4 linked regions of the Arabidopsis thaliana genome follow. The protein of the gene in region 4 interacts with the protein of the main gene of each other region in a pairwise test. Each region holds a gene or a part of one and is shown on either strand. Other genes may lie near its edges.

Region 1 (5,566 bases), about 13 Mb from region 4:
TGATCCTCAATTTCATGTTTTACGCGTGAAGTGGCAGATAACTTTGCCAGAATTTGATGGTAAAAAGACTTGAACAGCTACAAAAAAAATATATACTCTCTTTTGAATTTAAGGTTCTTGGATTGGGATTAGTCACCAGATGCAATCTACTGAAATTCCTACCAAAACAAGACATCATTGAAAGACACGACTTGCACCTCTGGATAGTGAAGTGTGAAGATAAAAATGTACCTCATGTTTTTTCTTAAGATTCATGCCCTGTGAAAGAACGGTGCTAAGAGGTACCATATCCACGTCTGCGAGTATCTGCCAACAGTCGAAAATGATTAAACTTTATTTAGTCTAGGATCTAAAAATACTAATCCTGAAACAGCACAAACAGGTAAAGAGAATACAATACCGCCTGTAAATCCGCTTGCTCTCGAGGAAACGATAGAGACCTCAACGTGTGAACAAATTTCTTTAGTGAAGCAGGCCAGTGATCCTATAATCAAATACTATAATCAATCATCTCCTTTCCAAACTAAAATAAAAATCTACCCTTTCTATCAAATATCTCAATCATGAAGACTGAGACCAGAACTTTACCTGGACACCACCGGAGGGAATAAGAAGAATATTTTCCGGCTTCTCATCCTTTAAGCAACTCATCCATTCCTCATTAACAGCTTCCCATTGCTTATCCTGGAATACAAACCCATCAATCAACTCATAACCCAACTCGAAGCTGAATTTAAAATTGTTTCCGATAATCGATCATACCTTGAAGAAATTGACAACGTGAGCATTGATTAGGAAAGAAAACGGTTTAAGGAAATCGATAATGGCTGTGATCCATTCTAGGGTTTCGGCTCTCGTTTTGCAAGAAAACTTATTGCTCTTCATTATCCCGATGACCTGAGTAGCAGCAACGATTCTAGTTTCCGCCGCCAAAAGCCAACCAAACAGCAAACACTTGCTTTTAACCGTCAAAATGTTTTCTAAAAATACCTCGTAAATTTTAATTTATTCAATTTAGCCCACATTTATTTATTCTGTTGTCAATACACCCATATTGTCACGTGGCCGAGTCTTCAAGAGACTCTAACTGCACCGGAAGGTTTTGACTCATGCCCCCTCCTACACTTCCTCTCATTCTCTTGTATTAACACTCTACTTCACCAAATACAATTATCACAAAAATGATAGCAATACACAGTAAATCTTTTAAACCATGTTCCAAAGAATGTAGCAGAAAGCAAATACTAGTATTCGTAATATTTAAACTAAACAACTGGTTACATAAATCCAACATGAAAACTGACTACTTAAACTTAAAGCAACTTAAAGTAGACCCAAATTTTAGTTACTGATGTTTGTCTTGATCGTCGCCGTCTTCTTCTTCTTCACCGTTTTCATAGTCATCAACCTCTACTGCGACTTGAGGGAAGTCTCTATATTCGCTACACATGTTATGACCATATATGATAACATAAAAGGTCCTGTCGCGGTCATAGATGAACTGCAAATACTTGCCATCTTCGAGATTGTTATCTTTTACAAAATTCTCCCAACCAACTGTAAGAAACACTTTCTCTCCTCTTTTCTTCATCCTAACCGTCCAAGATCTCCCACTATAGTCCAGGAGGTCCACAGTTATTGGAAATGGTGCTGGGAAGTATTCGTTGAATCCCAAGGGGATTTCCTAATCAAACATTTATATATAAAAAAACAACTCTCAGGAGACATTCCAAGAGCAGCAACGTAGAAACAATGGACTTGCTATTTTTCACTTTTCAGCCCCGCAGAAATGTTTGGTTCAAGCAGCCTATAACAACACCAACACATAAACTTCATTCTAAATCTAGCAAGATTCAGTAAGCTTTCATTTGCTTTTTGCTAATTTAAAGCTAACAAAAGCAATTAAAGGACCTAAGTTATTAGCTCCATGAAAATGAACTAAAGCAATTTACCCTAAACCATAAGTCTCCAAATCAGAACACTAAACACATATTTTGAACTTGTTGAAATAAGAAAATAAAAAAGAAGAAAGATAGAGAGCCATGCTCACCAATGATTTAGATGACTTTTCTGAGATGAAAGGCTTCATAAATTGAACCTCACCAGTGTCAGCCATGGAATAGAGTGAGACCAAATGTAGCTACAAGCAAAATCCAGAAATTGAAATGAAGAAAACAAAGAGAAGTGAAAGAGAGAAACCTTGAAAACAAACACTTTTTGTAATGCAGAAACAGAGAGAGAGCTTCAATGGTCCCGAGTGGACTATTTCAATTTTCTCTGTAAATCAAAAAGATGAAATGAGGAATTGATGTCATAGTCAAACAACTTGCCACCTTTTGACCAATCACTGCTTTTCTATTCTACAAGGCCACACCATACAAAAAGTACAAAACCAAACTCTTATTACTATTGGGCCAAATTATACAGCCCAATAGCCCAATAACGAGCTGAGACAAATCCTATCGACCTAGAAGATCCAACTTAAAACCCTAGAGTTCTCTCCACTATTTAAAGACCTCAAATCTTTTGATGTACGACTCAGAATTCTTCGAAACAGCGTCTGCTCTAGAAATTCAGTGTTTTCTCGAAGCTTCATTACTATTTTCTAGGGAAAAATTTAGAAGTTATTTTGTCTATTGTGTTGTGTTTTCTTAGATTTAAAGTCGATGTTTTACTCTTAATAAAGAGGAGAGAGCGGTGATAATGATGATGAAAGATGATTCCATAGAACAATCCAACTCTGACCATCATTGATGATCTTACCATCATGCACTACCATCTGAATCTCGCTCTCCCTTAAATCCTTTTCTTTTAGTATGAAATCGTTGATTTTGTTTTCTCAGAATCGGATTTTGTCGGATCTTTTAGTTTTGTCTCAATTTGCCTTAAATCGATTGAGAAAAATTCATCATTGGTTGATTTGGTTCTAAGTATTTCATACCAAAGTTCTGATTGTTATTTCTGTTGTTAAATTGATTTGGTATTTTTTTCTTCGTTTGCGTTCATAAGTCATAATGCAGATTTAACTCATATCAACAGGTTGATATTCAATAGCAAAAATTTGGCCTGAAAGAAGGAAAAGTAATCCCCTCAGAATTCAATTCTCATGGACTAAATTAATCTAGAAACGTAATTGTAACAATTGTCTAGAACTATTTTGATGGTAGTTATTCCGAAAACGATTAGTTCTGCAACATGAACACTCATCTTAATTAATCACTTTCGCAGATAATCGCAAAATAAGTTATAAATCCATAAAATTATGAAAGATATTCTGATTTGTGTCGATGAGGTTCACACAGATGTGGTATTTGAGGATGACTTTTAGAAAAGGATTTTATTTCATTGGAACTCAGAAAATAATGTAAACTGGGCCTATTTAGTTAGCCGATGACCAAATTTTCTTTAATGTCAGTCAAAAGCCCGTTAAGTAAAAACCTTCAACATAATTGGTGCTTTCACTTTTTCCATCAGTGGACGGGCCCAAAGCCTGCTTTTCTGATTTACCTGTCTTTTTAATAGGTTGATTAACGTCTCTTACCCTTTACGAGAGCCCATAACGGCTAGTTTATTCTCTGCGATCAGACGTGTCATCATCGTGGCGGCCCAGTTACATCGTCTGCTCTATTTTCCGGCTACAGAAATTGAAATTTTGTTTTAATTTGAACCCCAAGGTTTTGAGAATCATTAATTTCTTCCCACTGTTTCTACATTGTCCATAAATATCCACGTTTATAAATTTAACAACTTTACAGGAAGAAAGAGGAATCAAATCTTACGTTGTGAAGTCTTTAATAAGCATGGGGCATTTAGATAGATCTTAAATTTATGGGGAGATAACAGAAATTTGGAAAACTAGGGTATCAGTGAAAAATGGTCAAAATCAGAATCAATTTGCAATACTTAAAATTATTAGGGATTTTTCTATCCACTATGTATAAATAAATCGCAAATTGGCAACTAGCCGTTACGATCTCTCTATCTCTCTCTCTTTTAAAAATTCAAAAACTTAGGAACTTTTTACATTCACAATCTTGCAGATTCTTGCATATTTTCTTTCCTTTAACGAGCGCAAAAAATCTGAGATTTGTTAAATAACCCATTCTGATTTCCGGAGTGATTTTCATTCATGGCGTCTTCTCCAGCAAAGAACAAGATCTCTGTTTCTCCTTCTTCTCTATTCTCTTCCTCTTCGCCTTCAATGCCTTCCAGACCAAACCCTAAGCAAAGAAACTCGGAAACCGGAGATCTGATGCGTCGCAGTTTCCGAGGCAATCCATTTTCGGCAGATCCGTCCCGGAGAAACTCAATCGGTAGAGAATGCAGTAATCGTGTTGAGATTGGTGATAAAGAGAATCAGAACGACAAGGATCAAATCGCTAATGTCGTCAAAGGTCCAACAAAAGGTTCCAAGCATTTCATGTCACCGACAATTTCAGCCGTTTCCAAGATCAATCCATCGCCGAGGAAGAAGATCTTGTCTGATAAAAACGAAGTGTCTCGATCCTTTGACAAATCCCATCACCAGGTTCAGGTAAAGTCGTCTGTCTCGTTTTCTGATGTGATAAGCATCATTGGGGAAGATAAAGATGTAGACCAGATTTGCATCGATGAAACTAAGCAGCTTCGTGAAGAGGAATCACATGATATTACTGTCAGTGATTTCGATGAGATTCTTGAGAGGAAGAGTAATGATAATTCAAGCTTCAAGATCAGTCCTCTTCCTCCTTATGTTCCATGCACATTTCCTGTGTTTGAGTCTCATGAAGTGGATCCAGTGGTGGCACCTTATGATCCAAAGAAGAATTACTTGTCACCGAGGCCTCAGTTTCTCCATTATAAGCCAAATCCAAAAATTGAGCATCGTTCTGATGAGTGCAAGCAGCTTGAGGAGCTTTTCATCTCTGAAAGCTCTTCTTCTGACACTGATTTGTCTGCAGAACGAGAGGAGGAAGGTCAACAAGAGGAGGAAGTTGCTTCTCAGGAAGGTGTAGTTGCAGTAGAAGAACAAGAAGATGATGGTGAAGAGCGTTTGGAAGCCGCAGAGGAAATTCTGGATGTTGATGGTGAAGAGCGTTTGGAAGCTGTAGAGAGTGATGATGAAGAAGAAGAAGTAGTAGTTGGCGAAAGCATTGAAGAAGAAGAAACTCATCAGATTTCAAAACAGTCTCGTTTCAGCAAGACATCCATGTTGCTTGGTTGGATTTTGGCTCTTGGTGTGGCGTATCTGTTGTTGGTTTCTTCAACGACGTTTTCTCAACAAACCATCACAGATTCACCTTTCTATCAGTTTAACATCTCTCCAGAGATCATAATGTCTGCTAGCGAGAACTTTGAGCAGTTGGGTGCAAAGCTGAGGATGTGGGCAGAATCATCATTTGTGTATCTTGATAAGCTGGTCTCAAGTCTACGAGAAGAGGAGGGAAGTGTTCCTTTTCAATTTCATAACTTGACAGTTCTTTTGGAAGACAAAAGGTTGTCTGATGCTGTTTTCCAGTCAACTAGTGTTGAAATCATTGTTGATGGGTTCATAGTGGATAGCTTAGAAGTGGATATAGAAGAAGTG
Region 2 (6,507 bases), on a different chromosome or scaffold from region 4:
GGAATCCAAGGTTTTTCACGAGAGCTTTTAGTTGGTTATGTTAAATGCTGTCTTCATTCTCTGCACAATATGTGGTAATGTATTGAGATTTTCCTCAATGGATTTGTGCACACAACTCTCCATCTCGTTAACCGCTTCAGGCCTTATCTTCTGGAGCTTTGAGGCCTCAAACTTGTCTTGACACACCACCAGTGATCTGTTCAATCTTTCCTATACATTCATTCAACAAAAATCAGTCTTTATACACAGCAAACTATGTATCATCTTTTAGCAGATATCTTTACCTGAAATTGAGCCATTTCGTTCTCGAAATACTGTTGAGATTTGACAACGGGAACACTGCAGTGCTCGACGCAGTTACTTATCTCCTCTTGCTTTCTTCTTCTATCAAAGCACTCATATGCACATTTGAAATAAGCTTGCTGCAACAATGATATCGTTGTCAGGGTTTAATTAATTTGAATCAACGGATCATATAACTCAATATAGCAACCCAAAAACACAAGAGAAGGTGTTAATAACTCTCATGCTTCTGAAGACAAAGCAGAGCAATTGTTATGCAACGAGACACGCCTACTTATCGAATATCCTACAGAGCACAATATAGTAATTAAACCAGAGCAATTGTCGTGAACCTAATCCATAGTGTCTAAAGACGAATATAGTACGAACCCAAATGCAAATTTTCAGACTTTTTTCATGAACCTACTCAATTCATCAAATTTGAAACTAGCATTGTATCAAACCAATAAAGATTCCATATTCAGAAGCTAACATTGCTAAATTGTTATATCAGAGAGAATTTATGCTGAGCTCGCGAAAAGTACAGATTTTTGTATATACCTGAAGGGTGAAATTGATGTGATCTTGGATAGGAGAAAGCTGAGTCTGAGCAGCTACATTAACTTCTTCAAGCTTTCTTCGAAGTCTCTCCGATACGATTTGCTCTTCCGCCGCAGCGATGTGATCCATTGTCGCCTTCTCTGTTTAGCGTAATTTTGATTTTAGGGCTTTAGGGTTTTAGCTAGCTGCTCTCTTCAATAGAAGATCCTTCAATAGCCGCAAACAAAACGGGTTTGACAATTTTGGGTCGGGTTAAGTTTCCCGGGTTTCTCTAAACCGGTTAACTCTTTTTCACCAATTCAAACTTTATTAAACAGGAAGCTAATTCCGGTCATTGACCGGTCCGTTAAACTTCGCATTAGAATCAATTGTTACAAGAAGCCACCACAGAGTTGGGATTAAGCAGTAAAAAATAACAGAAACAGCCATCACCGACTTCAAGGTCTCTCCATCAATACATGATCAGACCAAAGCTTTGGCTAATTTTCATTAGTCTTGAGACAGAGAATTTAGCAGCAGCTCATTGAAAGGGCGAATTAGAAGACGAGAGATTAAAAGCATGAGAAGATGTTGGAGTCTTCACAGGAGCCCAAATATCAGCACCATTGGTTTGAGCAACTTCTGATGTATACTCCAATGGAACAAGACATAGCCCTTTACTTCTTAAGCTGTACTCTTCCACTTCCTCCTAGTTACAGAGATGGAAAATATCAGTCTTGCATTGTGATCCAAGTAAACGAGATCCAGATCATAGATTCAGCTCACCTCTGTAGTAGAAGGGGTTGCTTGCAGATAAGGAGCACTTAGAACCTGAACAGAGAAAATCAAGCATAATCATCATTGGATTGGAGGAGGTGAATGAATGAAAAGTATTTGATTAGAAAACTTGAGCAGACCTTGACTTGTTCTTGAAGAAACTGAATGTATTGCATTCCCTCTAGAAGAACTGATGCAGTGTCGGTCTGCATAGATAGAGACTTGAACATGGCTAGAGAAGACAAAGAGCGTGTAAGAAAGATTATTTCGGACCAAGTAGTACCTTTCCGTAAGGGGAAACTAGTTGTTGAAGAGCTGAAATACGTTCTGCTAATTTGTCTTTCCTCTCCTGTTTAAACCACAGAACAACAAAGTTTCAAGATCATTAGCATGCTGGTACAGAAATGTCCGGTAGCTTCATAGCCACAATGAATTTTGATTTTGATGTATCACAAGACCTTGGAAGAGAAAGAGAGATCAGATGACTTGTGTCGTTTAATTTTGTTATCTTCAAGCGAGTAGACATTGCGCTTAGTCTCCATCATCATCTCTGCCGAGTCTCTAGAGTATTCCATTCCTTGTCATCAAACAAAACAAAAATGATCGGTTTTTCGACATAAGAAACCGGTTTACTTGCTACCATTTATAAAGATAATCTCATGGCTTCATCCAAGGCAAGTTGCAGAAAAAAACATAAGATTACAACTCAACAACTTGCTTTTGCAAGCGTCATAAGGACAAAACTATACGCCTTGAGATATTCTCAGACCAGACAAACAAAGTGGTGTCTTGGTTTTAACATCAAAATTAGATGTTAACTACTACAAATTAAGGGATGCAAATCTAGGTTTGGACCAACTAATGCATTGGAAGATACGACTTTTGGATTAGAAAACAAGAGCAATGGTCAAAGAAAGTAGATAATGGTCAGAGGTTATCCATATAAGATCACATCAGCTTAAAGTATTATTTAAAGTTTAGTAGCACAATCATAGATGTTTAAATATGATATCATACTTTGCTTCCATACATAGACAATACATTGTAGGATGCATGAAACTACGGAATTAACTCATTAATTTAGTTCATCTAATGAGCAGAACTAGTTAATCATTATACGTGTTTTTATTTTGGATCGAGTTAGCTCCATTAGACAAGATTCAAAGCTAAGCAAACTTCAATAGAAAAACCCCACAAGAAGATGAGAACAAAAAATACCAAAAGATTCATGATTTTATTTTGCCTTAAAATACTCTAAGTTAAGTCAAAAAGACCAAAAATGGGGAACAAAACAGAGTAAATGAAGAAAAAAGAACTTACAGAGAGAAGAGACTCAGCATTTGCCAGAAACAGCAGACTAACCAACAAGTAACTTCACAAACTCTAAAACTTCTTGGTCTAAGCTCTCTAAATGGGTATTTATGTCACCCTAAGCACAAGACACGATGAAACCCATAAACGAGGATCTTGGTCTCTCTAGTGTATATATATTTTTACTTTCTTTTGTCTTCAGGTCTTGAAGAAAGCCATTAATGAAGCCGGAGCTCCAACGGTGACACGATTCCAGAGGTTTGTGTTTGGATGAAAACGGCGTCGTTACTTAAAGGGTCGTGAAAGAGAGGAGTTTTAGTTTTATGTAGAGAAGAAAGCAAAGAAAAGAGGGGACTACGTTTCATATGTCTTTTTCTTCATTTTGTTTTTCCTTTCGTCCTCTTCATTTAATTCTCATTAAATCTATAGATTTTTTTGTGAGACAAATAAATTGTTAGAATATATAATCGTAAAACTTTATTCTGTTTAATTCAAATCTCTTAATCAATCGAAACTATATTATATGTGTTATTCAGTACTATTTGACGGTTAGGAAATAATTACTATAGTAGTAATTAGGAAGTAACTTGAAGAATTTAGTTTAGTGTATATATTTGGAGTTAGGGAATGTAATGGAAATGTAAAAATTTGACAGCTAATGTACAACCAATGGTGAGAGAGGTCCTTTTACCAGTCCCAGATAGAAGTCGCTTTCATTATTTTCATAATAAAATAATAAATAAGCTAATAATTTTGAAAGTGACATTTGATTGTTTTTTATGTAGTTTTGTCAAAATGATTTTGACCAATTCTTCTGCATCTGTCACTTCTTTTTCAACTTTGTGCTTTTTCTTGTTTTGTTATCCTTTCTTTGAAATTTTCTACGAGGGAGGTTGGTTAATGCAGCGTACCCTTTGGTTGATATCCGAGTATATTCACATTTTCAAGTTTCAACGACACAGCTTTTTGTTTATATGGAACAGAATCTATCTTCTTTTGTTTCTCCAAAGTAAACAGCTAAATACTAACCCAAAATTGAAAAGCATAAACAAATAGTTGAATCTAACCAAACAAACAGAAAAAACAAACCTAACTATAACTAAAAGGCAAAAAATATAACAACAATATTGATTACATGCAAAATATTTGAAATGTTTACAAATGTCCAATTGATCAGCGTTCCATATCGGACCCACGCGGTTTCTGAATTTGTTTCTTTGCCACAAATGTTTTTCTTTTGTCTTCGCGGCGACCAGATTTTGGTTTAGGTGTTTCAATTTATATCTCTCTTACGTACGTACCAAAATCGGCCTGTATCAAAGGCTTTCTTTCCCAAATTACAATATTACAACCATAATTATTATAGCTCCAATGAATAAACAGCAATTATGCTAATCACCATTCGAGCATTTCTTAGCAACAATAAGGAAGATCACTCAAATCAGAAACAATACGGATAGTTCCCAAAAATGCACAAAATTAATCAAGACATTGATGTTTAACTTACATTCCAACTTCACTATCATCCAAATTGAATGCTTCAATAAGTTGGTAGGTCTAACAATCATAAAGGTTATGAAAAAAACTCCACGCTTCATTTTCCATTTGCGTATGGACGAAACTAGGTGTATTGTATATAATATAGTCTCAAAAATTTCAATCTTAACTTATAACAGAAATATATCTCACACGTCTTTTTAAAACGAAATAATAAAGAATGTTTTTATTTCCAGCATTTCAGCTTCTTTGTAGCGTCTATGATGCTTTGCTTCGTTTCCAATCTCTGGCACTTGAGCAATCCCTCCAGTATAACTGCAGATTCTGGAATATCGTTCTCGCTGATTACAGATTCAGAGCAAAGCCCAAAGAGCACTACGTTTACGTCATCTTCCTCTTCTAGTTGCAGGCCAAATAAATGATCGAAAACCTTGGCAAAAAACAAAACAATAGAGATCAATTCTATGACTCAATTTCCGTGCAATAGTATCAGATCAGATTTGTGAAAATATGCAGAGAATTTACAAGGAATGAATCACATTTGCTTTACCTTTTTCATTCTTGATACTACCATATCTTTGACGGACTGTGATCTCGTGACCAAATTCACTATGAAAAGACCGTGCTGAGGGAGAGCTTGCTTAACCGAAAGAAGAAATGTCTCTTCGATAAAATCAGATGCAGGGCAGGTTAATCCGCCGCTGCAGACAAGAGATCAAACAAGAAAACAATCAGGCTTACCATGTGGGTAAATTCATAGATATGTGAATTTACTTGCCATGTCTTTTACCTTGAATCTGCTGAATCCACATCTATAATTAAAATGTCAGGACAAATTCCACCTTGTGTATTGTGAGTGGTTGAATCTCCATTTGAGCCAATGTTTGACGATTCCTCAGACGAAGCTTCAGAGTTTGTTATATCTCTAATGAATTTGATCCCATCAGCAATATGCACCTATTATAAGAATGCGAACGAGCTGAGTGATGGTGCATATAATAGAATAGAATATAAACATGTTAAAGTTTAGCCAGCACTTTTGTTGTAAAGAGGGAGAATTTTACCTTCAAGCGATCATTTTGTGTGAAACCAAAGTAATCCTTGCCAACACTAAGCATTACTGGGTCAAGCTCAACCGCCTATTCAACAGGATACAGAATATGAGTGGCAATAGAAAATACTCAACTTGATTAATCCTTTAAACTGAAATTACCTCAATACTGAAAAATGGCAAGCATCCATGGAGGAACATGGGAAGTAATCCTGCTCCAAGACCAATTACAACAGTCTTAACCTGAAAAGCATCAGAACATTTCTGGATCAGTACAAGGCAAAGAAAAGATTCAGATCGGTTGCACCGTGAGGCCACAACTTAATAATGCTCACCATCGTTCCGCATGACTCAGCCTTCTTCAAGTAGGAAGATACCAATGTGAATCCAGAAATAATTCCAGTGTGGTAAGAGCTAGCCAGATAATCATGAGAGACCCTCATAAGAGGCCTGCTCGGTTCTGAAATGGATACATGTAAAAAAGATCATGAAACTTTTCACCTGAAATGTATCAAAACACTTACAGAAGTACGATTTTTACCTTGGTTTTGCTTTTTATTTCCCTTTCGCTTCGATTGGGAAACATTTTTAGTTTTTTCTTTCTGAGACTGTTCAAGAATCTCACCATCCTCTACAAGCAAAGCTTCAGACTGTATCAAACCCTCAGTCCTTTTGAATACAAGTCGTCGAAATGCCAAATCACTAGAAGTAGACAAGTCTTCTAAATTACTAGGAGCGCTTTCATAAACCACATCTTCAACAACCACTTTCCCAGTCATAGGAGATGTAACCTACAAATCGAAATGAATAGTAAGAAACAAAAAAGATCCCCATAACTACGTATTCTAACCAATCAGTAGTATTAAAATTTGCTAAAATAGTGGTGGATAAAAGTCTAATCACGGAGATCAATAAAGGAAACGATGATCATATTTGTGAAAGGCGAGAAATAGAAGAGACAACAAATAACAGTTTTATTAAGTGATTAATTGGGTATATCTAGTAATAATACCTCGTGGACAGTATCACGCTTTTTTATCCCATCACTT
Region 3 (5,360 bases), on a different chromosome or scaffold from region 4:
GTCTCATATAAAATATGATGGAACATTAATTATTAAAAAATTGTTTTGTGCAAATAAAACTTTAAAGTCGTTTTTACAATGGATAAATACCTAGCTAGTAAACCGTATTATGTGTGGTGAACTGGTGATAAGTCATTCGTTATGGATAAATAATGTATGTTGAAAATATATTTGTCCAATAGTTTCATAGACTAATTAAAGAAAAATGTGGCGTTATAGACTTATAGTCAACTATTCATGTTATATCATCTAAATATATATGACTGAAAATGCATTTTTAAGAATATCAAAACTGGTATTCTGTAAAGTTCATGCACCATCAGTATTTAAAATTGTATTCATTTTGGGTATTTCCTAGTAATTAGTAAGTATATCGAAAGTAAATAAAAAGGAAAATAAACAAAAGAAAACATAGAAAGTAAGAAACTGAAAACAACATAATTAAGGAAACAAAACACAATTTCTATCTATCATTAAGTCAGGATAAGAAAAAACAAGAATAAGTAGTAAAGCTGACTAAGACATAGCTGGAGTTTGTATGTACAATGACTCAAAATTTAACATTCTATATACAATGGTGTGTTTCCCTTTCTTTGTATTTGCAATTATCATATATATATATATTAGAGAAAATAAGTGAAAAATAACATCATTCCATATAATAGAAAATATAATCTTGTATTACTTAGCTTATTAATACATTTTTTTACATATCAATTAATATTTTTTACATATTAATTGCTATATGAAATAACATGAAGTTACCAGTTTGCAACGGTCGATATAACGAACTGAAGCGTAACATTTTTAAAAAAATTGAAATGAGTTAGTGTTTTTTTTAATTTACTTTTACACATAATGACGTATACTATAACAATTATAGATATATTTTAGCTAAGTAGATAAATTTTAGATTATACAAAGCCAGTTGGTATGCACACAAAATTATTATTTTGGAAGACAAAATGTATAAGATCACCATGGTTAGAAAAACAACCATATTTTCTATCTTTCATTGGAGTTATATATAACACATCATGTAAACAAAATCTAGTCAAATTTGAAATATATTAATTAAATTGGTGTATTTTTAACATATGAAGTATCATTTTAGAAAACAGAAAGAACAAAGTCAAGATAACTAGAGACACACGTACTTGAAATCATGAGTAAATAAATATTAGATTATACAAAGCCAGTTGGTACATAATGCACACCAAATTTTAATTTGGAAGACAATGTATAAATCAACATGGTTAGAAAAACAACCATAACTTTTAAAACTATGGATAATTATTCATAGTAGTTATATAACACATAACTTCATATAAACAAAATCTAGTCAAATTTGAAATATATTAATTAAATTGGTGTATATTTAAGAAAGAAAAAAAAAAGTCAAGATTGTTAAGAGGCACAACTATTTCTTTTAAACAAAAAACAATGAATTCAAAGTAGATTTACTGTTACAATTAATGCTATTTGCTCTTGGAGATTTTATACCTTAGCGAGTGCAACACAGTAATTAAATCTCTCAATATATACCATACGTCTCCGGAGAGAAGAAATCACTCACTTCTAATTCTCATCAAAGTTTTACAAAAAAAATGGAGAACCAATCTGTGTCTTCTTCAAGCTCCTCCACCACCCCAAAAAAACCTGATCAAAAACTCAAAAGTGCCGTTGTGACCGTGGAAGAGAAGGAGACAATGAACAATCCGGAACAAAGGCCCCCTCAAGAGGTTGTGTTTGAAAACACGATCCCTGACCCTGAGTTGCCTGTTTTCACATTAGAAGTTGTCCGAACGGAAAGAGATAACGAGCTAAAATATCCTCCAAAGGATAAAAATCTCGACTCGGTGCTTTCTGGTGGTACTTCTCTTCCGCCTTTCCAAAGCTTTCCAGTGCCCTCTTTCGGCCTCTTTGGTCCAGCGTATGGCGGTAGCAGCTCAACTAATGATATTAATCTGGATCTCACTCTTGGTCCATCTTCTTGGTCTAACACTAACCCATCTTCTTGGTCTAACACTGACCCATCGTTCTATCGAAAATTGTTCACTCCCGTGCTACCTTGTGTGCCTAGAAACAATTTTGTTGCTGGAAACCCGGTTGGTTCAAACACTAGGTATATTCCTCCGAATGGAAACAACAATGTTTGTCATGATTTTTTTTTTTTACAGGGGAATAGTTCGGCCTCTACTCACTCGAAAAGTCTCTTCTCAATGGGAAAGAACCAAGCCATGGTGCGTCATTTTGCTTTATCTTATCCAACCACCTATTATTGTTATGATTTGTTTTCTTTACAAGGGAATGGTTCGGGAAACTGGCCACTCAAGTCTCATCTCAAAGTGGGAAAAAAAGTCAGGGTGCCTCCTTTGGCTCCTCCCTATTGAAACAACAATCATGATTTTTTTTCTTTACAGGAGAATGGTTCGGGATCTAGTCACTCGAAAAGTCTCTTCTCAATGGAAAAGAACAAAGCCGTGGAGCCTCCTGTTGCTCCTCCTAATGGAACCACCGATCTTCTGTTTCCTTCACCCGAGAATGGTTCGGGCTCTAGTCACTTAAAAAGTCTCATCTCAAAGGGGGAAAACAAAGTCGTGGTGCCTGAAAATGATGATGATGATGATGATTATACTGATACTACTATCGGGAGGATAAGGTGGTTGAACAAGAAAAAAAGATCAAGACCAGAGTAGTAATTTATCTATGTCCCTTTGATTTTTCAGTTTTCTATTGAGGCTTATGTTCACCTCTCTTTTTTTTTTCATGCAATTGTTTCTTCGTTTCGTTTCAAATAATCTCTGTTGTTTCGATTAATTCATCAGTCCCTTTTGTTCAATTCCTATATCTCATGATTGCTCTAAAATTCCTGCAATTTTCAGAATTCATGGCCCAATTATTCGTAAGCAAACGTTATTTTTTCAAAAGGTTAAAGAGGTTAAAGAGACATTAAAGAGACAAAATGTATAAAATCACCATAGTTAGAAAAACAACCATATTTTTAAGAATATAGATAACTCATAGTAGTCATACGTAACGCATATGAAGAATATTGATTATATTGTTGTGTTTTTATCTTATGAAGTATCATTTTCTAGAAAGAAATTAAAGAATAAAGTGAATGACAGTTGTAGTCTTGGAGAAACAATTATTGCTTTTAAACAAAATTAAGTAGTTTTACGGTATCAATTAATATTTGTTACCCTTGGAGATTATATACCTTAACGAGTTAAATACAATAATTACTATCCTCTCAATAAATATCGCCTCTAAGCAAAGAGATAAGACATCACTCACTTCTAACTGTCAGCAAAGTTTTACAAAACAAATTATGAACAACCAATCTATGTCTTCTTCAAGCTCCTCCTCCCCACACAAACATGATCAAAAACTCAAAAGTGCCCTTGTGGCCGTGGAGGAGAAGGAGACAATAAACAATCCGAAACAAAGGTCTCCTCAAGAGATTGTGTCTGAAAGGACAAACCTTGAGATGCCTAGTTTCAGATTAAGTTTTTTCCGAAAGAAAAGAGATACCGTGCTAATACATCCTCCCAAGGATAACAAGATCAGCCACACCTGTCGTTTCTGCAAGAGGAATTTCAAAAGCTGTTTTGCCCTAGGCGGTCACATGAAGTGCCACAAAAAGGAACGAGAATTGGAGAAGCAGCGAAAGATAATCGAGGATGCGATGCTTTGTGATAGTACTCCTTTCACCTTGCAAAGGCTTCCTGTTGGCCCTTGTAAGTATGGCCAAGGTGGTAGCTCACATGCTTTATCAACTGATGGTATTAATCTTGATCTAACTCTTGGTCCATCCAAGTCCACAGGAGGCAGCAACAATAGCACTAATAACAACACTAACTCATCGTTCCATGGGAATCTAATGACTCCCGTGGGTCCTTGTGTGCCTAGATACAGTTTGGTTGCTGGAAACCAGGTTGATTCAAGCAATATACATGTTCCTGCTTATCCAACCACCGATCTTTGTTATGATTTTTTTGCTTTACAAGAGCATGGTTCGGGCTCTAGTCACTCAAAAAGTCTCATCTCAAAGGGGAAAAACAAAGTCATGGTGCCTGAAGATGATGAGGATATCGGGATGATAAGGTGGTTGCCCAAGAAAAAAAGATCAAGAGGAGAGTAGTAATTTATCTATGTCCCTTTGTGTTTTTCAGTTTTCTGTTTTCTATTGAGGCCTATGTTCACCTCTTCTTTTTTTCATGCAATTGTTTTTCTCTTTTTGTTTCTTTGTTGTCTTTTTGATGATTTTGATGTTTCGATTAATTCATCAAATCCCTTTTTCAATTCCTACATTTCATGATTGTTCTTAAATTTTTGAGATTTTCAGAAGTCATTTTCGTAAGCGAACTTAATTTTTTCAAAGGTTAGAGAGAATCTGCAATTTGCTTAAAAACATTAGTTAAAGAGACATTATCTCTTCATTGACAATTTGTTAGCCTTGGAAAATTGAAAAAAAAAAATAAGAGGCAGAAAGAAGGTCTATCTGATCTTCTATTGTTGTAATTGTAACCTCACAAAAAAAAAAAAAAAAAAAAAAAAAAAAAAAAAAAAAAGAGGCAGTGGTTTCCTTTTGACGATTAGGGTTTCGCTGGTTCCAGTTTGCCCGGTTTTCTTCCTTGACCCAGATCCGATTTACTAGATTGTATTACAAATGTAATCATCTTTCAGGATATTTGTAACAAAAAGATACAACTGTTATCCAATAAAACTGTTATTTTTTTTATGTATTAATATAATCTTGTAATCCTAGTAAGAATTTATAAAACTTAAAAACCTGTAAGGCTGTAACTGATGTTTGCATCTCCATTCTCCAAAGATCTTTTCTATTGAACAAAAATCAAAACTATTTTTGTTTCTCTTGTTCAAGAGAAATCTCCTTTTAAAGATAATTTCCTGAAGACATTTATTCCATAGTATGAAGATCGAGGTCTAGAAGTTGATAGTATTGAAAATTGTCTATTGGATCAACTGGATTGTTTTCTCAAACAAATGAAAGTCAATATTGAAAAACACAAGTGCTTTTTCTTCCAAGCAGGAGATTGATAATTTTGCATTTGGAGCTTGTGCAGATCATTTATATATTAATTTAAGTTCGTGAAGATTTAGGTTTATGGTTGTAGATACCTCACACAAAGCTTACATAGTAGTTACATAGGAATAATACCGAACATCGTCGCTTCATTTGAGATGTTGGGTTGATAGACCCAACAATAAAATCATCCTAAAAGAAGTAAGCTACGTACTTATTATTTATAAAGGCTTGTCCTCCTCCCTTCCTTAAAGCCAAAGCCAACTCTTTAAGTCTCGCTCTCACTGCTTCTGGCGAAAGCTCAAGT
Region 4 (6,935 bases):
GAGTTGAACCTCAAAAGTATTCTCACAGCTCCATTAAAATGTATGTATATACCAGTGGCGGATCTACAAACAAGTTTTATAGCGGTCAAATAAACAAAAAAATTTATGATGGACGATAAATTAAAAAGTTATATCAACTAAAGGGGTCATTTGGAAGTTAGAACAAATTTATAGGGGTCAAACCCTAATTTTAACCAAGTATTTTTTCAAATTCAATCAAATTTACATTAAAAATAAACTAATATGTAAAATTTATAGGGGTAAAGAAGAGAAGAAGAGTTGTGAAAGGAGAAGAAGTGGATGAGTTAGGTTGTCGTAGAAGAAAGCAGAAGATGAAGCAAAAAGATCATTGGGCCATGAATCTTATTAAGGCCCATAATGCTAATGGGTTTCGATATTTAAGTTAAGAACAAAGTAGTAAGCCTAAGCTCATTAACATTTCAGTTGGTTTAGTGAGTTTATTACTTTGGTCGAAATGAATGTACATTATATGTGTTCATTGAATTATAAGTTTTTAAAACAAAATTATGCATGCACTTTTCTAATCAATTGTAACTACACTAGATATTGACCTGAATATAGTTCAATGAAACTGAAACTGTTATTTTAAAACCATATATAGATTAATCAATGCATACTAAGATTTCAAGAAAAAGGGACTAAATGTGCTGAAAAAAGCTAAAACCAAAAAGACTTTTTGAAGACATTTTTTTTATAAACAATAAGAAAGTGAGAAAGATTCTAAATTGGTGGCTTACTATTTCTAGGAAGAGGATCTTCACGCCTAAGTTCCACGTGAGATTGTGCTTCTTCTGTTGTATTCCACCTCGATTCTCACATTCTCAAACCTTATCTTATATTTATGGGTATTGTTTTCTTTGTTCCAAAGTAACGAGTACTTTCTTGACACCAAAATGTTTCCTTACAAACAAAATATAGAAAACGATTAGAATTTATATTTAGCTTTTGCTCTGCAGTTTCTATTCTATGTTAACAACCCAGATCTAAAAATATAAAAGTTGCTAAATTCATTGCTGATTTAGGATTTTAAAAATACTATATAACAGCTTCCTGAATTCATTAATTAGTTTGTGAAAGAAATCCAAAATTTGTTTTTTTCTTGAGGATATCACCAATTTTTTAAAACTGAAGTACAGATAGATTACAAGCGTTTGATATTTTTAAGTATAATTAACGCCCAAGGCATTAATCGGTATCAAACTATTTTGCTGCATAAATATTTTGTTTTTTGATCCACTAACACAAACTGTTAAAAAAATTAAAATAATTCATTGGTTGGAATTGAATCTCTTACTACACTACAATAACGTTTAGTTAAAATGACGCTCAAATTACTCATACAATATTTTTCTTCTTAATTGGGCAACCAATTATAAAATTATTTTTCAATTAATATGTGATTAAAAAAATTACTCATGTAGTCATATTAATTTGCCGTGTAAAACTCTTGTTTCATGGATTGTAACTATGGCCCGACTCTGATTATGTCCCTTAACATGAATATAAGCACTTTATCGATTTGAATTCGGTTTGGTCATGGCCGGCCTTCCGCATAAGCCACATAAGCGGCAGCTTAGGGTCACATTTTTTTCCCCTTTGATTTTAAGGTCCACTTTTGATGAATCAAGAAGTTACATTGCACTACCATGTCATATATATTCACATTTCTGATTTTTTCTACACATATTTATATAAGTATTTATCTTTTTTCTATTAACCAGTTTGTATTTCATCGAATAGCAAGAAAGTTCAATACTATTCGACTCTCAAGTGTTTTTCCAAATCAAACACGCAAATACGACATATTAATTGAAGTGGATAATGAAATTTGAATTCGGATATGTATTAGTAGTTGTTGTTATGTACAGTATTTTGTAGATTAAATAGCACTTGGTCTTTAAACTTTAAACAAGTACTAGTATTATACAAAAACGTAAGTACAATACGTGTCCTATATTTTATGCGGAGGTACATACGTGTTTAAACGTGAATAGTTGGATTAAGTCGCTTGAAAGGTTCCCTAAAATTTGGAGCCCTAGACTGCCATATCAACAACACCTGTCTGATCCTCCAACTATTTTCATTTCATTTTATTCTTCTTTTTATATTTTTGGATTTTATTTATTTTTTTATAATTTATTAATAAATATTATAGTTTGTTTTTCTTTTTAAGTTATCCGTCATTTCAATATACGTCATATCGACATATGTCCTTTTTCTCAGCCATTTTTATTGCTTTATAAGTCAACAGCTTTAATTCCCACAATTATATATAGTCGTCGTTTTATTTTATTAAAAGTTCTGAATCATTTCAATAATTGCTGATTTTAAAATTCATTTATTAAAATTAAAAATAAGATAAAGTCCAAAAAACATTAAAAAAAAGCTGCTGATATTTTTCTTTGAAAAACGAGAAAAATCATTTAATAGCCACACTGATTGGAAGTATACCAAATTTACAAAAAATAATAATCACATCGAAAAAAAAAAAATTGACATCAAAATATTTTTCTCGAAAACAATATTTATTTTTCACTGTTACATAACATTATAAAAATGTTAACGTGGTCCCCACGTGGCCTACACGTGTCAGCATCAAGGGTTCCACTCGTAATAAGAAGACACCATAAAGGGTATTTTAGTCAAATCACAAATAAATCCCAATCTCTACCTGCCCTCTGTTGTTTCTTCCTCTCCTCTTCTCTCTTGCACATAAGTTTCTCTCACGTTCTCTTTTTTAATTTTAATTTCTCGCCGGAAACAATCTCATCTCCCGGCGAACGAAACTTCCGGTGTGGTACTGCAAACGGAGAAAAAAATAACCAAAGAAGAGAGAAACTCAAAAGCTACTAAGATGGAATCAGAATTCCAGCAACATCACTTCCTTCTCCACGATCATCAACACCAGAGACCAAGAAACTCAGGATTGATTCGTTACCAATCAGCACCAAGTTCGTACTTTTCGAGTTTCGGTGAATCAATCGAAGAGTTTTTAGATCGACCCACAAGTCCTGAAACTGAGCGAATCTTATCTGGCTTTTTACAAACCACCGACACAAGCGACAACGTTGATAGTTTCCTTCACCATACTTTTAACAGTGATGGAACTGAGAAGAAACCTCCGGAAGTTAAAACAGAGGACGAAGATGCTGAAATTCCGGTGACTGCGACGGCGACGGCGATGGAGGTTGTTGTTTCCGGTGATGGTGAAATCTCAGTGAATCCTGAAGTATCGATTGGGTATGTGGCTTCGGTTTCGAGGAATAAGAGACCAAGAGAGAAAGATGATCGGACTCCGGTGAATAATCTAGCTCGTCATAATAGTTCACCGGCCGGATTATTTTCATCCATTGATGTTGAAACAGGTTTGACTCTTTTCTTTCTAGTTTTAATTAGAAATTATTTCCTAATCTGGAAACTTTTTCTGGTAACTTTTATGAGAATATACTTAGGATTTTGATAGGACTATAATGATTTTAAAGCAACTTGCTTGTTTTGGTCTCTGTAGATTGGATTCTATTGATTTGCTATTTATTACAGATATTATCTGCAACTAGTACTTTGTTAATCACTAAATTTGGTGATGAATGAAAAGTGAAGTCTTTTTGAATCTTTTGTTCTGTTTTTTCTTGGAAATTTTGCAGCTTATGCAGCTGTAATGAAAAGTATGGGAGGTTTTGGAGGAAGTAATGTGATGAGTACAAGCAATACTGAAGCTTCGTCTCTTACTCCTAGAAGCAAGTTACTTCCTCCTACTTCTAGAGCGATGAGTCCGATCTCTGAGGTTGATGTTAAACCCGGTTTCTCGTCTAGATTGCCTCCTCGGACGCTTTCCGGTGGGTTTAATCGTTCTTTTGGGAATGAAGGGTCTGCTTCTTCCAAGCTTACAGCTCTTGCTAGGACCCAATCTGGAGGTCTAGATCAATACAAAACCAAGGTATGAACTTATAATGAGAGACGTTTTGCCATTGAAACCAACTTCTTGCGGTTGAAAATTCATTCTGCTATTGTTCTTGTTTGATTGATTGTACTAAAGAAATTCAATTTAACAGGATGAGGATTCAGCAAGTAGACGTCCTCCTTTGGCACATCACATGAGTTTGCCCAAGTCTTTATCAGATATTGAACAGTTACTGTCAGATTCTATCCCATGTAAGATCAGAGCCAAGCGGGGTTGTGCAACTCATCCTCGAAGCATAGCCGAGAGGGTAAATCTTTCCCCTTACTATTATGCTCTCAGTGGCATTGATTCCATGATGATATAATATCAGTTTCTCCAACGATTATATATGTTTCCAAAATGTTGTGGAACAGGTGAGAAGAACCAAGATCAGTGAAAGAATGAGGAAGCTGCAAGACCTTGTTCCAAACATGGACACGGTTAGATTATGCGATCTTCCTCTCTCATATTCGTACTTTCATGTTCTTTGCTCAATGTATTTATCATCTTCAATTGATATGCAGCAAACAAACACAGCAGACATGTTGGATCTTGCGGTTCAATACATCAAGGACCTGCAAGAACAAGTGAAGGTAATGATCTCACTAGTGTTGCATACTAATCACTCTTGAATCCCTTTGTTCACTCTGTAAGAAACTGAATACTTTTATTTTTGGTCAGGCGCTCGAAGAGAGTCGGGCAAGATGTAGATGCTCTAGTGCGTGAAACTAGAAGTGGGAGTATGCGCGAGTGCTAGCCAGGGAGGGAGTTGTGCATAGAAGTATCGGTTCGGCCTTTGGAGAAAAGTCGAAGATAGCAAAGTAGAGAAGAGATCATGAACAAAGCTAAATTTGGTGGTGGTGGTGAAAAGGGTTTTTGTAAAGTTGGAACCTTTTTTTGGTAGGGAAGAAAGTAGCAAGGTTGTGTAATGGTCCGAACTCCAATGCTATTGTATGTTCTTACATCCAAAAAAAAGAAAAGCAGAAGAGAAGTGATGTACAATGAGAAGCTTATTTTATTGTAACTCAAGAATAATTCAGGTAATTAGTTTATTTTCTTTTGTTAGAAACTTAGAATCATCAACAATTTCATAAATCTTGAACATATGACTATAATGGTAAAAAAGACCAACTAACTAAGATAAGTTGCTAGCTTAAAGATAATTTCATAAATCCACAAACTTTTATCTTAGATAATCAAGTAGGTGCTCGAAACATGATACGACGATTCAAGAGTTTGTTATTAAACTTTTTGTATTCATTTTTTCTTCATCTAAGTATCCAAAATCGAAGTTTAGTAGTCTCCAAGATCTGTGGAAGATGTGGTAGTCATATTTTTTACTATTTAAATTATTTACAATGGTTGATCTCCTTGACATGTGGAAAAATGGTATCTTACAAGTTACAATTTAAAAACATTCATAATGGTCAATCATGATATTTGGAATGAATCATTAAAGCTTGAATCATACATTAACTTCAAATTTTTTTTTCTTACTCATTCTTCTTTGTTATAGAGCTGAATCCAAAACTACATTTAAGACGTTCTATGTGAACACACATATTCGCTCCACTTTATCCGTTTTCTTCGTTCCTATTGTTCATATGATAATCTGTATAAAATCAAGGAATATTCTCTATATTTTAGAATTAAATTTATCATTATTAAAAATGTTTACATATTAAAACTTAAAGTTTTTGAACGAAACAAAATCTATAATATTTCTTTTAATTTGATGTTATGAATCGACCCTACGAAGCATATACATCACAGTCCTTAAGTCTTGTCCAAACAAAAAAGATGGGCAAAATCTTGCCAACATTGATTATTGTTGGGGACCATGTCTTTGTTGTTTCTTTCTTTGCTCTTTTTAGGCAGTCATGTGAAGGTGCACTAAGTTGTGGGAGTGACACGTGACAAAGATATTGTAAAATTTTGCTTCTTAAGGTTACAAGTGTTAATCATCAGCTTAAAACCAAAAAGGTTCGTTAGGTAAAAAGGTATTACGATATGATTCCTAAAACGATAATGCGCATATTAATGTGTTGTGTCCTTCTGAAATGCTCTAACATGTCCATTATCAAATTCTTATCCTTTTCACATTACCACATAAAGATAACACACCCTTTACGATTACTTTTTAGTCACGATAAACTAAGTTGATTTAGTTATTCCATCTTTGGATCGCGTATACAATTCACTTGTTTTTTGCAATTGCCGGATATTGTGTACCTACTATTTATATTATCTGCTTCCGAGCTTTGAGGCCATAAATTATTGTCAATTTTAGACAAATTAAACCAATGTGGTACAACATATTTTTTTAGTTATGAATTAAAAATATGTAACAAAATCTAAAATTCGTAACCTTTATATTTATACGGTATAAATTCATAACTAAAAAAATATGTTGTACCACATTGGTTTAATTTGTCTAAAATTGACAATAATTTGTTAATTTGTTACATATTTTTAAGTCTAAATACAATAGTGTAAGTAAATTTTTACAAAAACCTATGACGCTTAACAGCGACAACAATACAAATTAATTATACTTGTCAAAACGATTTGCAAATAAATGAGTGATTATGATTAACCATGAGATGTTTAATATACAAGAACCATAAAATTTTCACAATTCAAGGTCAGGCTCAAATTTTGAATTACAGCCCAACAACAACTAAATAGAACAGAAGGCCCAATAAATGTTAATTGAGAACCAAAGCTGAAAATCCCAAAGCTTCGCAAGCACGATTTAGTTGGAATTAGATACTTTGCTAATTGCCTAACTATTTATGGGCTCGGCGGGAAAATCATCGAATTAATTTTCTCTTTCTTCCTTTTTTCCCTCAAAAATATCAAAAATCCCCAAATTCAACCTGCCGTTAGGGTTTTCAATTTCTCCACTTCTTCTTCTTCGTTTCGCTTCTTCAACGTCTCTCCTTGTTCGACAGTTCTAAATTCACCATGAGGA

The links.
Region 1: the proteins of FBH3 (region 4) and AT1G16640 interact in a two-hybrid assay, tested with the Arabidopsis thaliana proteins (one large-scale study listed by BioGRID).
Region 2: the proteins of FBH3 (region 4) and AT2G31730 interact in a two-hybrid assay, tested with the Arabidopsis thaliana proteins (one large-scale study listed by BioGRID).
Region 3: the proteins of FBH3 (region 4) and AT5G54360 interact in a two-hybrid assay, tested with the Arabidopsis thaliana proteins (one large-scale study listed by BioGRID).

The regions. Positions count from the first base shown.
Region 1 is NC_003070.9:5,683,313-5,688,878, reverse strand, and holds AT1G16640 (AP2/B3-like transcriptional factor family protein), read right to left. Parts: upstream 2,355-5,566; 5' UTR 2,117-2,354; coding exon 2,051-2,116; intron 1,685-2,050; coding exon 1,346-1,684; 3' UTR 1,152-1,345; downstream 1-1,151. Other genes in the region: AT1G16650 (S-adenosyl-L-methionine-dependent methyltransferases superfamily protein), read right to left, coding at 232-306, 401-484, 589-684, 763-885; AT1G16630 (uncharacterized protein), read left to right, coding at 4,130-5,566.
Region 2 is NC_003071.7:13,486,420-13,492,926, forward strand, and holds AT2G31730 (basic helix-loop-helix (bHLH) DNA-binding superfamily protein), read right to left. Parts: upstream 3,261-6,507; 5' UTR 2,920-3,260; intron 2,273-2,919; exon of another isoform or gene 2,177-2,272; 5' UTR 2,175-2,176; coding exon 2,058-2,174; intron 1,949-2,057; coding exon 1,883-1,948; intron 1,806-1,882; coding exon 1,740-1,805; intron 1,654-1,739; coding exon 1,609-1,653; intron 1,532-1,608; coding exon 1,364-1,531; 3' UTR 1,131-1,363; downstream 1-1,130. Other genes in the region: AT2G31725 (FAM136A-like protein (DUF842)), read right to left, coding at 28-210, 285-422, 844-972; AT2G31740 (S-adenosyl-L-methionine-dependent methyltransferases superfamily protein), read right to left, coding at 4,634-4,837, 4,958-5,108, 5,198-5,364, 5,472-5,546, 5,621-5,701, 5,794-5,918, 6,000-6,249, 6,471-6,507.
Region 3 is NC_003076.8:22,068,528-22,073,887, forward strand, and holds AT5G54360 (C2H2-like zinc finger protein), read left to right. Parts: upstream 1-3,334; coding exon 3,335-4,147; downstream 4,148-5,360. Other genes in the region: AT5G54350 (C2H2-type zinc finger protein), read left to right, coding at 1,608-2,393.
Region 4 is NC_003070.9:18,941,554-18,948,488, reverse strand, and holds FBH3 (basic helix-loop-helix (bHLH) DNA-binding superfamily protein), read left to right. Parts: upstream 1-2,676; 5' UTR 2,677-2,875; coding exon 2,876-3,386; intron 3,387-3,665; coding exon 3,666-3,958; intron 3,959-4,073; coding exon 4,074-4,229; intron 4,230-4,335; coding exon 4,336-4,401; intron 4,402-4,485; coding exon 4,486-4,554; intron 4,555-4,642; coding exon 4,643-4,687; 3' UTR 4,688-5,042; downstream 5,043-6,935. Other genes in the region: DEG6 (DegP protease 6), read left to right, coding at 1-119; AT1G51130 (Nse4, component of Smc5/6 DNA repair complex), read left to right, coding at 6,929-6,935.